Coturnix japonica: one gene and its partners. The protein of the gene in region 2 purifies or fractionates together with the protein of the main gene of each other region. This does not show direct contact. Links are inferred from orthologs where the notes say so. Each region holds a gene or a part of one and is shown on either strand. Other genes may lie near its edges. The genes, in order: TMEM9, CLCN4 and TMEM9B.

What was found.
Region 1: the proteins of CLCN4 (region 2) and TMEM9 purify together in Homo sapiens (co-immunoprecipitation; 3 studies listed by BioGRID and IntAct, with this or other methods). This does not show direct contact. The link is inferred for Coturnix japonica from reciprocal best matches to the Homo sapiens genes CLCN4 and TMEM9.
Region 3: the proteins of CLCN4 (region 2) and TMEM9B purify together in Homo sapiens (co-immunoprecipitation; 3 studies listed by BioGRID and IntAct, with this or other methods). This does not show direct contact. The link is inferred for Coturnix japonica from reciprocal best matches to the Homo sapiens genes CLCN4 and TMEM9B.

What each region holds. Positions count from the first base shown.
Region 1 is NC_029541.1:1,279,899-1,284,287, reverse strand, and holds the start of TMEM9 (transmembrane protein 9), read right to left. Parts: upstream 2,824-4,389; 5' UTR 2,748-2,823; intron 2,719-2,747; exon of another isoform or gene 2,481-2,718; intron 987-2,480; 5' UTR 978-986; coding exon 885-977; intron 524-884; coding exon 432-523; intron 110-431; coding exon 1-109. UniProt on the Homo sapiens protein: Transmembrane protein that binds to and facilitates the assembly of lysosomal proton-transporting V-type ATPase (v-ATPase), resulting in enhanced lysosomal acidification and trafficking.
Region 2 is NC_029516.1:112,469,256-112,472,876, forward strand, and holds part of CLCN4 (H(+)/Cl(-) exchange transporter 4), read right to left. Parts: intron 2,639-3,621; exon of another isoform or gene 2,561-2,638; intron 861-2,560; coding exon 709-860; intron 547-708; coding exon 447-546; intron 1-446. UniProt on the Homo sapiens protein: Strongly outwardly rectifying, electrogenic H(+)/Cl(-)exchanger which mediates the exchange of chloride ions against protons.
Region 3 is NC_029520.1:13,761,767-13,765,849, reverse strand, and holds the start of TMEM9B (transmembrane protein 9B), read right to left. Parts: upstream 2,807-4,083; 5' UTR 2,682-2,806; coding exon 2,604-2,681; intron 2,463-2,603; coding exon 2,371-2,462; intron 1-2,370. UniProt on the Homo sapiens protein: Enhances production of pro-inflammatory cytokines induced by TNF, IL1B, and TLR ligands. Has a role in TNF activation of both the NF-kappaB and MAPK pathways.

The DNA of each region.
Region 1 (4,389 bases), on a different chromosome or scaffold from region 2:
CTTGATGGTGGTGGTGCTGCGCTCCTCATACTTGCACTCACACAGCAGACAATACGCCTCCACATCATTCCCAGGCACTGGCATGGGCTCCACAACATGCAGGCAGTTGCTGCAATGCAAAGAAACCAAAATCAGTGACAGGACAAAGAGAAACCAGTGCTCTGTGGAAGGATGCTGTGGTGATTTAACCCAGCTTTCCTATTGGGCTGATAATGCTGACTGGAGTTGCCACCACAGCAAGCCTGGAACAGACTGAGGCACCTTTTGCAGGGATAAAGTCCAGGTGAAGGGGACTGAAGGGCATAACACCCCTCACCTGGGCTGAGCAACCCCTATAGAAACAGCTTGCTCTGCACATTCACAGGCAGCAAACCACTCCCAGAGTGCTGACTTCCACAGATCAACCCCTCAGGCTTCAACAGGCAACTCACCAGTCCTTCTGTGATACATTCTTGTTGTAAATGTGCCCGCTGATGTTCCGGTATGGGGGACAAATGCATTTGCAGCGGATGTCCTCTGAGCTCTGCAGAAGCACAAGGAGACAGCATTAGTGAGTTAAAACACACGGGTACAGCTCTGCTGCCCTCACACATAAGGCTGTGGCAGCAGAACATTCCCAAAGAGAGAGATGACTTCACATCACATCTCTTATTTCTCTTATTTCTTCTCTCCAGAGATCAGGTTCTCCTCAGATGTATTGCAAAGCACAGACTTGAGGCCTCCATCACATACATTCACAGCCCTTCATGTTACAGATACACATGTGTGCACTGACCTGCTGCAGCTCTTTTTCCTTTTTCATATTTCTGTTGAAAAACAGTTGCTTCTCTGCCATTTCTGTGCCCGTTGTACCACACTCAGTGTGTCTGAAGTTGTTCACTCACCTTGCCAGCCTGTGCTGGAGGAGAAAGGACGCAGCTCAGCAGTGCAATCAGCAGCATGGAGCTTGCACACTTCCAGGTGCATTGGACAAACATTGTGGAAGCCTGAGGAAACAGAAATTCCCATAAAGGAACCTTCTTAATTAAATAACTTAACGTTATTTCCCCCAAGAAATGGAAGTTTCTCCCTGTATCGAGGTGCCAACCTGAAACTCTTGGAAACCCAACTCACAGACCCCAAAATGTCCCCATCCAAAGAGCTTGGGGCATGGAGACATTCACCCCAACTAAACACTGTTCACTGAGCCCTGAAGCCACACATCACTCCTGGTGCCACACTCAGCATCACAGTGCTCTGAAGTAGGTGTTGTGATGCTGATTTTGCTACAGAAGTGTGGATGAAGTCACTGCAGAGAGCTGTTTTTGCACAAATCCAAAGCAACGGGAGCTCTCTTTGCACACTGAAGCTCTGCCAGATGTGAGCTCTTTGCACACTGAAGCTCTGACAGATGCAAGCTCTCTTTGCACACTGAAGCTGACAGATGTGAGCTCTTTGCACACCAAGGCTCTGACAGATGCGAGCTCTTTGCACACTGAAGCTCTGACAAATATGAACTCTACACACTGGTGCTCTGACAGATGTGAGCTCTTTGCACACTGAAGCTGGCAGATGTGAGCTTTCTTAGCACACCAGTGCTCTGACAGACGAGCTCTCTTTACACACCAAGACTCTGGCAGATGTGAGCTCTCTTTGCACACGGAGGCTGACAGATGTGAGCTCTTTGCACACCAAGGCTGTCAGACATGAGCTCTTTGCACATTGAAGCTCTGACAGACATGAGCTCTCTTTGCACACCTGTGCTCTGACAGATGTGAGCTCTTTACACACTCAGGCTCTGTCAGATGTGAGCTCTTTGCACACTGAAGCTCTGACAGACATGAGCTCTCTGCAAACTGAGGCTCTGGCAGATGTGATCTCTTTGCACACCAGTGCTCTGACAGATGCAAGCTCTCTTTGCACACTGAGGCTGACAGATGTGAGCTCTCTGCACAGCAAAGCTCTGACAGACTTGAGTTCTTTGCACACTGAAGCTCTGACAAATATGAGCTGTCTTTACACACTGGTGCTCTGACAGATGTGATCTCTTTGCACACTGAGGCTCTGTCAGATGTGAGCTCTCTTTGCACACTGAGGCTGGCAGATGTGAGCTCTTTGCACACCAAGGCTCTGTCAGATGTGAGCTTTCTTAGCACACACAGGCTCTGACAGATGTGAGCTCTCTTTGCACACTGAGGCTGTCAGACATGAGCTCTTTGCACACTGAAGCTCTGACAAATATGAGCTCTCTACACACTGGTGCTCTGACAGATGTGATCTCTTTGCACACTGAGGCTGACAGATGTGAGCTCTCTGCACAACAGGGCTCTGTCAGACTCGAGCTCTTTGCACACTGAAGCTCTGTCAGACTTGAGCTCTCTTTACACACTCAGGCTCCAACAGACCCCCGTTACCACACCTCGATCCCACACCTCGCCCCAGCTCCTCCGGTTCTCACAGCCATTTACACCCCCTTAAATCCACACCTCTCCCCTCTTCACCTTATTCCAACGCTCCACAGCAGCCGGGCCGACATCCCGTCAGGTTTACACAGAGATTACGAGCATCACATCCGATCCACCCCCCACCCCCAACGCTCCGCTCCTTACAGCACAGCCCCAGGCCGTCTTCCCGGTATTCCTCCTCTCCGTTCATCCAGGCTGCAGCCCGCCCATCTATGAGGCCCAGCGTCCCGCTGAAGGAGCCGTGTAACACCGCCCCCCCCCCCCTCCGCCCAGGCCGCCCCCCGCCGCCGCTCTGGGCCTTACCTGCCGCTTGACGCCGGCGCCCCTGCAAGCCCCACCCCAGCCCTGCGCCCATTGGTTGCAGCGTGACGGGCAGAGCGCTCGGCCAATCGGAAAGCAGAGAGGCCTACCGTGCTCTAATAAGATGGGCCGCGCCTGTGCTGCACCTCAGTGTGAGGTGGGGGGTCGTGGGGTTCGGTGTTTAGATATGACGTGTAGCTGTGGGTCTGCGTGCCCGCTTTCTGTATTGAGGGTAAAGCGCTGTCACAGCACTGCAGTAACGGATTGGGTTGGGCTGCTTTACCGTTATAAGTCACATTTAGCACTCTCTGGTTCTGTGTTAGAAGCCTCAGGCCTACGGCTGCGCTGAGGGCAACGCTGTGCTTCCCACAGCTGCGGCCTTGTCTTCAGAGGGAGCGTTCAGTGGGCCTGGCTTTGCGGCCTGCTGCTGGGGGAGATGGGGCCCCCTGGGCTGAGTGGATCTCTGGGTCCCTCTGGGGCTGTGTGGGTCTCTGGGGTTTGCTGTTTGAAAATGGAAATCAGGAGGCTGTGGTGAGATACATTCAACTGGAAGCATGTGTAAATCAGGGGATGCCCCTCTGGTGTGATGTGGTACGCAGCTGAGAGGAGATTTGCTGCTATGAGCAAGCTGAGACTGTTTGAAGGTTTGTACAGTTGTGGAGGTTGTCAGTTCTGCAGTGCACCCAGGTGTGGGAATTCCTGATGTAAGAGTGTTTTCTCCCCCAGCTCTGCCATGCATAAGGTGCTGGCCCAGCACGCTGTGTTCCCCACACACTCAGCTGGAGTCCATTAGAGGGTCACGGCCTGCTCCAGCTGGATTGACCCAAGGAAATGTTCCAGATGAATCATCCTGGCAATCAGGTGCACAAGGGACTTCTAATTCCTTCCTCCTACTCCAGTGCTGCCAAGCGGAAGCACTGCTGTGCTGCAACTTGCTGCTCTTACTTCTGAGCACGACCTCAGCCCTGGCTGTGGGATGCTACCAATGTTGTGAAATTGCTGAGTTTTTATCATGACCACAGGGCTCTTATGTTGCCAACTTGCCCAGCACAACTGGTAAGGAGGTATTTTTATCTGCTCTGACGTTTTTATTGTCACAGTAATCTATCCTTCTTTGTTTTTTTTCTGCAGTATAACTATATATACCAGTGCTTCTTGTGGGACTGGAATAAGCTGGATGTGTGCTTACAGGACACAGCTTCACCTAGTGACAAGATGCTGAGCAGTCCTCCTGGAGTGAGTAAATAAATGACCCAAGCAGCTCCAACGCTGGATGCAGGTTTCAGTCTTTCAGGTGAGTACCTCAGAGACAAGTCTGCCAAATACCTGATGAGCTTGGAAGTTTCCAGTCCCTCTTTCTGAAGGTTGTTTTCGTGTGTGTGCATTGACTTGTGTTCTGTGGTGTAGGGGAGGATGCTTTCTTTGTAGCAATGGGGGGGGGACCACACAGCACATCCAGGAGATCATTTTCTGCTCCTTTCCTTGCTGGGTTTTTCCTTAGTGTCTGTCCCATGTAGCTCAGACAGTGGGCTTAGTTATCTTCTGAGTTCCAGCCTTGTTGTGCTTTAATGAGTAAGGACTATAGAGGCCTACCAGATGAAAGTAGGAATAAGGTAAATAGGGGCCTTTCATGAAGATTAAGTAT
Region 2 (3,621 bases):
CTTCGTGCATATATAATAAGATATCCAAGTGGACATAATGATTTACAAAGCTCCCACTTGACTGTACACGCCGAACATTTTCCTTCGCGACATGACAACATCTACTTGGAGAGTGCAGCTAAGTGAAGACAAGGGAAAAAAAAAAAAGATCTACAATAAAACTGGCTGTGTGAACTGAAGACTCAGAAGGCGAAAGCAGTCAATTGAGTGTAAAGTACTTAAAAACATATTTTCAAGGAAACTCCCTCTACAGATTAATAGTTTTTTTTCTAAGTCAGCACTCAACGGGACTGCTTTTATTAAGTATTATAACTGCATAGATACATAACTGCTTTTTTAGATTGAAAAATCAGCAAATACAGAACAAAGTAAAGAGAGAAACAAATGGTACTGCAGAAAATTTGAGTGAGGTGGTTCCAGGAAAAAGTAATGTAGCACACACATACCTGCCAGTAGTCCTATGAGAAGCATTACAACCCATCCTGACCAGGCATCCAGCAAACTCTTGATGAATTCCCATATGGATTCCTTACTTTTGCTTGTAATCTGAAACGATATGTACATAGAGTTGTGTTTTTGATCCAGGCTAACACAATTTTAGTGCATCAGGCTAAATGAATCTACTCAAAAGTAGGCTAAAAAATTCTTCTACTCTCTGCTTCCTCCAGTCCCAACCACATTGTAGAGGCGCTCTGCTATAGCCATTACCTTCCTATGGCGGTCAGTGTCACGTGATTTCTCCCGCAGCCAGTCAATAGTGTGGAAATCTTCATAAGTCCCGACATCAGGAAAAGGCTCATCCAGAAAATCCATCAGGTTGCCAGAACCGTTCATTTCTCCTGCATTAACCATATTAGGGTCTGTATATAGAAGGGAAAACAAGTTTTTCAGTAAATTCATGCAGTTTTGCCAGACATGTTGGAATCAAGTCTTCCAAAACCCCTCCACAAACCACAAACTCTAGAAAACATGGCTCAGCAGTTCTAGTGGGCACTTACTGAAGTCTATGCATTACCATTAGGAAAAGTACACTGCTGAAGGCCACTTCAAGAGCTTGGCAAGCTCTTAAAAGCCAACACAAAAAAAGCAGAGTGCCCAAGTGTAGAAATACAGCTTTTATTATTTTTTTTTTTTTTTTTGGCCAATAGTTCCCCAAAACCCAGGATGGTTCTGGGCTTCTTCTGCAAAGTTAAATGCTGATCACATGTTGGAAGGTGCCCTACCTGTGGTGAGGCTACTGAGAAGACAAAGTTACTAACTCAGAAGACAAATGATAATACACTAAAATTTACCATTTATCATTCATCTGGGTTTTCAGACTATGGAAATGAAAGCAGAGAACCATCCATGCCCGTTGTCCTGAAGCCTCAGAAACTATACCTACTTCATGAGGTACAACAAGACCAAGTGTCAAGGTTACGCCTTGAGTACTGTGTTGGGTTTTGGGCCCCTCACTACAGGAAAGACATTGACGCCCTGGAGTATGTCCAGAGGAGGGCAACAAAGCTGTGAAGGACCTGTGACACAAAGACTTAGGAGAAGCAGAGGAGAGAACTGGGATTGATTGTTCAGTCTGGAGAAGAGGAGGCTCAGCAGAGATCTTATCACTCTACAATGACCTGAAAGTAGGTTATAGCAAGGTGGGGATTGGCCTCTTCTCCCAGGTAATAAGTAATCTCCAGTTACTAATACAACAGGTTACAGAAAAGGCTGACATCATTCCCAACATAAGGAACCTTTAGTAGCAAGAGAGTCTTTTAAGTAAGTATTTTAGGCATACAGGATTCAAGCAACTTAATTTCATCCATCCGAAAGTTTGGTATCTAGACCATAAGAACTACCTAGGCTGCCTCTGGAGACAGAGAAGCTGGTTTAGAAAGCTGGAATGAAGAGAAAAATCAGACAGTGCTATGATTTTGTAGCACACAGGTCATTTCCTTCAACCTACTCTTCCCATACAAGTAGTACCTGTAAGGAACATGCAGTCCAGACGGCTTGCTTGAGCCTAGGCAATACTGCTGATTTATAAAAAATGTCTGGAAACTACTGTGTTGAAAGAGTTGGCAAGTTCTCCTTAATGCTACAAGAAAGTTACCCAATATGCTAGTTATATCCCATAAAAAATAGCTTCTTAAGTATGCTGTCAATGCCCGGCACATGACAGTTTTGTGATGGATAATAGCAGGCCAGACCACAAGTATGTGGGTAATTACAATCTTAGCCTGAATCTATCCCAGACATACGTGTTGTACGGCATGCCCCGGGACACAAGGAAGTGCTAGAGACTGCAGGGCCAAGGAAGACTCAGAAAACAAACTTCAAACTCTAGATAGTTTCAGTATCTAGGAACTGCAGCTAGATGGATTATTATCATCCTGAAACTCCATGCCAGCTGCTGTGCTTTTGAATGCAGAGATGTGATGTCAGATTAGACAAAAACCAGTTCTGGCTCCAACAATTTTAATTGGGCTGTATAGAGATTCCATGTTTCTTATGTGCTGGCACTAAGCACCATTTAAGTACCACTGTCTTTCTCTTTATTGGCAATTCTTTATCTCACCTTTCTGAAACAGTCTCCAAAGCTTCTATTGGTGGGTTAACTTCTCCTCTCAAGGTTCTTGCAGAGAACTTCCCAGTCCTGCCAGCAAAACTACAACCTTACACTAACAATTTAGTTATGGATACTTTAATTTAATACACAAATGTTAAGGGCAAATGAATGTCATCCAAACACAGACTGTAGCCAGGTGCACAGTAGCAATCCACTCTTAGGACAGCAAAAGTACAAATACAGTGTGTGTTGTCCCATCTAGCATCACAAATCTGCACTAAGCTCTGGACACTAGAATCTAAACTCCTTTTGTAGCTGATGAGAGAGAAATGCTATTCAAAGGCAACTTATCTCACATATTAGAGACATTTGCATTATTATGAGATGATAAATTGTTCCCTATAAGCAACAGTTTCTGGCCACAGATCACAGAGACATCAGAAGTAGCCATTCCCGCCTCATTAATTCAAAAGAAAACACTGCAATATCACTGCACACAGAATTAGCAATAAATGCAACTCTTAGCCACTCCTAAGACTCAAATATCTAAGAAATTTGGATACTCAGCAATCCTGTACACACTGGAAAGTGTTGAATATTGTTTTGCTGCTGAGTGACTCTTGGGTGCGCGTGTTGTCCCTTTGTAGTTCCATGTCTCAGATGTCATTGCTGTCCTTTCAACTACGTTTTCAGGTGCTGATGAAACAATTTGTGCAGCAGCAAATGTTTCCTGCTTCATCCCCTATTCTTTCCTAACAACTCCTGGCATTCATTTTGCTTAGGGCATGCATCCAACATTTTCCATGAGCAATCTGCTGTAACTCTAATATGTACTCCATGAGAAAGAGAAGCCCATCATTCTGTGGGATCTTAGGGTCATTACCCCCATCATTTTGCCTTTATTGACCTTGAGTCACATTTCCCATTTCATTCCCTGCAATTCAGCATGGAAAGAAGGTTCTTTCCATGAATAGCTTAATCTACAACTGGATGTTTTAATCAATATTCTGCTTTAGCAAATGTAAACTGATTCTTGCTGGAAGCTGAATGAAGAAACAAACCTATTGGAA
Region 3 (4,083 bases), on a different chromosome or scaffold from region 2:
CTCTGCAAAATAGTGCTGCATTTAAAATGCAAAATCAGAAATACATACAAGTTATGAACGAAGAAATTTCTGTAAAGGTTACGTCAATATGCTGCTCAAGTAGAGAAGAAAGCCAGTACGCTGCTTGGGTACAGCAGAATATCTGTTACTGTGAATATATCAAATAATATCAGCAAGGTTTTTTTTTCTCTAGTTCAGTTTCACATTGCTATGGAGGGTAAAAGCTCTCAGTTTGGATTATATGTTTCCTTGGACTGTGATTCCATGGCAGTTTAAGAGGAATACATGGAAAAGGTTGACCCTTTCCTAAAGGGTGTTCCCACTCAACAATAACAGCACCAATGAAGCTATTCTTCCTAGCAAATCAAGGCAAGCCAAAAGCACAGTTTCAGGTCAGCTTTCAGTTTATCCACCAAAGCAGACAGGGCACCTTCCCTCCCACTATGTCCTTGACTATTAAAGCAATCAGCCTCTAGACATGAAATATAAATGCATTTCTCTCAAAGTGGGTTATTTAACTGAATGTCATGTAGGTGCTTAGTCTTACACAGCACAATGCTTGCCTAGTGTGTTGTTTGTCAGGACTGAAGTGTCAGCAGTAGCTCCAAACTCTCAAATGGAAAACACATTTATTGGTGTTGGAGCACTGTCAGCTCACACTGATGTTATCAAAAGGCATTGTTTAGCAGTCTGTGAGGATGAAAAAGAAGGACCTCTCCAACAAAAGAACAGAAGTACCTAAATAAGAGTATCATAATGCAGGCTACAAGTTCAATATTAAAGATTAAGCTCAATATTAAAGATTTGGAGTCCAGATAAGGAGGCAGTAAGTGATCATACTGAACGTAACTCACTGATCTGACTCTTGCCTCAGAGCGACAGATGTAAATGCCCGAAGGGCAGAGCACATCACCCTGTTCTATACAATAACAGGTCACTGGCACAGATGCAGAAGCCCAAGTGTGACACTAAAATGGTCTACTTTGTTGCACATGACCAAGCAGTGAAGCCTTTTTAAAGTAGCAAGAAGGCAACTCAAACAAGAAGACCAAAACATTCCCAAGTGGTCTCACAAGAAACAACCCCAACAAAATAAGATTTAGGACCAGAAAATAGGTTTCTGAGATCCTGTAAGCACCATTTACCTGTCACCATGAAACGAGCCAAGACTACAAAGTTAATTTTTCCTTAAATCACTACCAATACGATTTAAAGTGAAACAAGGCCTTTTCTGGCAGTAGGGCACATGCTAAGCAATGTCCACTGAAAAAACCACACTTAATAGGCAGAGGAGTAATAGGCAACTAAGCCATTAACAGAGTCACTCTGAAATGCCAGCTGCAGCTGCAGTTCTCTCAGTATGTCTTACTACTGCATTGACTATGACTAATTTGTCACAGCAGGCCTAATCACATTAAGCTAACCACATGGGACAAAACAGTAATTTAGATTAGACACTACATTTTATGTTCATTAACACAGATTGAAATTTATGGTGTTGTTTCTCACAGCTCTTCTGTAAGTAAGTCAGTAAGTCAAGGCACAGCTCTTAATACACATCTGTATCACTAACTTCATTCCTCTAATTGTTTTGGTGGGATTACTAAGGGGTATGGATTATTCACAATCAAGCTGCTAGCCAGCTGCTATTCAACAGACCAAAAAGCCTACTAATAATTCTTGGTATATAAGGAAAAGAGTCGACATATCAAAACATATTTCACATTTTTATAGGTTGATCCACAAATTCCTGAGCACTTTGGATATCACAGCAACTCCAAAGCATGCTGCTTTAAATCAGTGCTATCTTCCTTTCTTCCCCAGCTGCTCATCCCTGCCCACATACACTGGTCCTCAGCTCAGTTTAAATCTGACAGATGCCATGGGTAGGTCCAAGCAAAACAACACAGTACGTGGCTGAGACACAGGTTTCTCTATACACAGGAGAGAGAATGTGCTGCTAACTATACTGCATTCTCTGACTGTGATTTTTGAGGAACAAACCTCCAAAACAATCTCTGAACAACAGGACTGGTTTTGAGAGCAGAGAAGTAGGAGAAAACAATCCCTATCCTAGATTAACAGATACACTACTTCACCATGATACCACTTGTGGTCACTGAATTCAAATTACAACACCCCTTTCCTTCTACTACCTCCAAGCCTTATGCAACAGGAACTAAAAACAGGCAAACAAAGCAATCCAAAATAGAAGATGGAGAAACATTAAGGGTGAAAACCCTCATCTCTTCAATTCTGAAATGCTTTTAGAAGCGAAGGCGCAATGAGATGTAGCAGAGATGTTTTTGTCATCGCCACAGAACGCTGACAGACAGTCACGCTGTTTGTAACTCCCCACGATAAACTCACCAGTCCTTCTGCGAGACGTTCTTATTGTAGATGTGGCCCGAGTGGTCTTTGTAAGGAGGGCAAATGCATTTACATCGGACGTCCTCGGAATTCTGCAAAGCAAACAACACGCTGAGCCGGGACACGGAGCGCACACACACAGTATGTCAGACCCCAAGAACTGACAACAAACCACCTTCATCTCAAGAGCTCAAAGCAATTACCGGGATAAATACACAAACAGCACTACTCACCTTAGCCTGTGCGCCCAGCCCCGCCAGAACAGCCAGCAGCCCGCAGAGGCACAGCCAGCCCCCGAGGCCGGCCGCCATGTCGGTCCGGGGCTTCTCCTGCTAAAGCACCGCCTAACAACACAACACCGCCTAATTAACAACACTACCGTGCCGCCGCCATCACTTCCACCTTCCTCCCGTTCTCTTCCGGTGATGTCCGCTCCTCATTGAGGTCCGCGGGGAACTGCGACAGCGCCACGAGGTTCCGGGCGGAGAGGGACTAATATCGCGTTAAATAAACGGTGTTTGTTTTAACCGTGGTTTTGTTAAGAGGAAATACAGCCGGCGTTAAGAAGCATACGCGGTTTAACGAGTTAGTAACAAACAAAAATAAGTATGAAATAGAAGCTGGGTCTCATTTGAAACCATGAATAAACCCTCTCCAAGTGCTTGGGAGTGTAAATATAATGTCTGTGTCTGCTCAAGGTCTGCCCACGGCCGCCCCCTGCTTTCATATGCACTGTAGAATATCCTCATCGCACGGTAATGCAGCTGGACACACAGCAATGCTTGGGGTTTCGTTTTGCTTTATTAAATAAAGAACAGCAACAACAACATGTAGAATATCCTCATCACACGGTAATGCAGCTGGACACATGGCAATGCTTGGGGTTTCGTTTTGCTTTATTAAATAAAAAACAGCAACAACAACATGGTGTCCCAGGGCGAGTGAGCCAGCCTGGATCCATCCCGTGCCTGCCCCATGCCTGTCCCATGGGGAGACGTGTCTGGCACAGTACCATGCACCTGGAGGTCAGGGCTGTCATGGGGTGTGATAACAGAACAGCTCTTCTGGTAGCTGTATTTCAGCTTTCCATGCTTTTCTCCTCCATACTCCTATGCTGGTCCTAGCAGGGGTTCCTGCATCATGCCACTTGTTACTTAAGGTGGTGGAGATGGCTGGGTTGCTGGGTTTTTTTGCCTCTAAGATGGCAGAAGTCACAGGGGTACACATGCCCTGCTACCTAAAATGGCGGAGGTAGCAAGGATGTTTGGCTCCTATGTTGCATAAGAGCAGAAGTGGCAGGGTTTGCTGTGTTGTCCCTATAGTTGTTTAAGATGGCGGAAGTAGCAGGGGTTGGTTCCTCTTTTTACATAAGGATTGGTGACCCTTGCTACTTAAGTAGTGGACTTGGCAGGAGTTGGTGCCCTCTACTTGAGGTGGCAGAAATGGCAGGGCTTGCTGTGTTGTGCATTTAGTTAAGCTAGCAGAAGCTGCTCGGCATGGTGCCCCGAGGTACATAAGATGGTGGTGATTGTGTGGCTGCTGTGTTCTGCCTCTTGTTACTTAAGATGGTGGAGGTGGGTTTCAGGGCTGTGTAGCAGGGCTGAAGGAGAAGTGAGTGGGGGGTGAGGGGCAAGTGACTTCCCTCTCTGCAGTGAGGAGACAGGAAGAACACAGCAAGCAACCCTTGGGGCTGCTGCCTGTAGTGCATCAGGA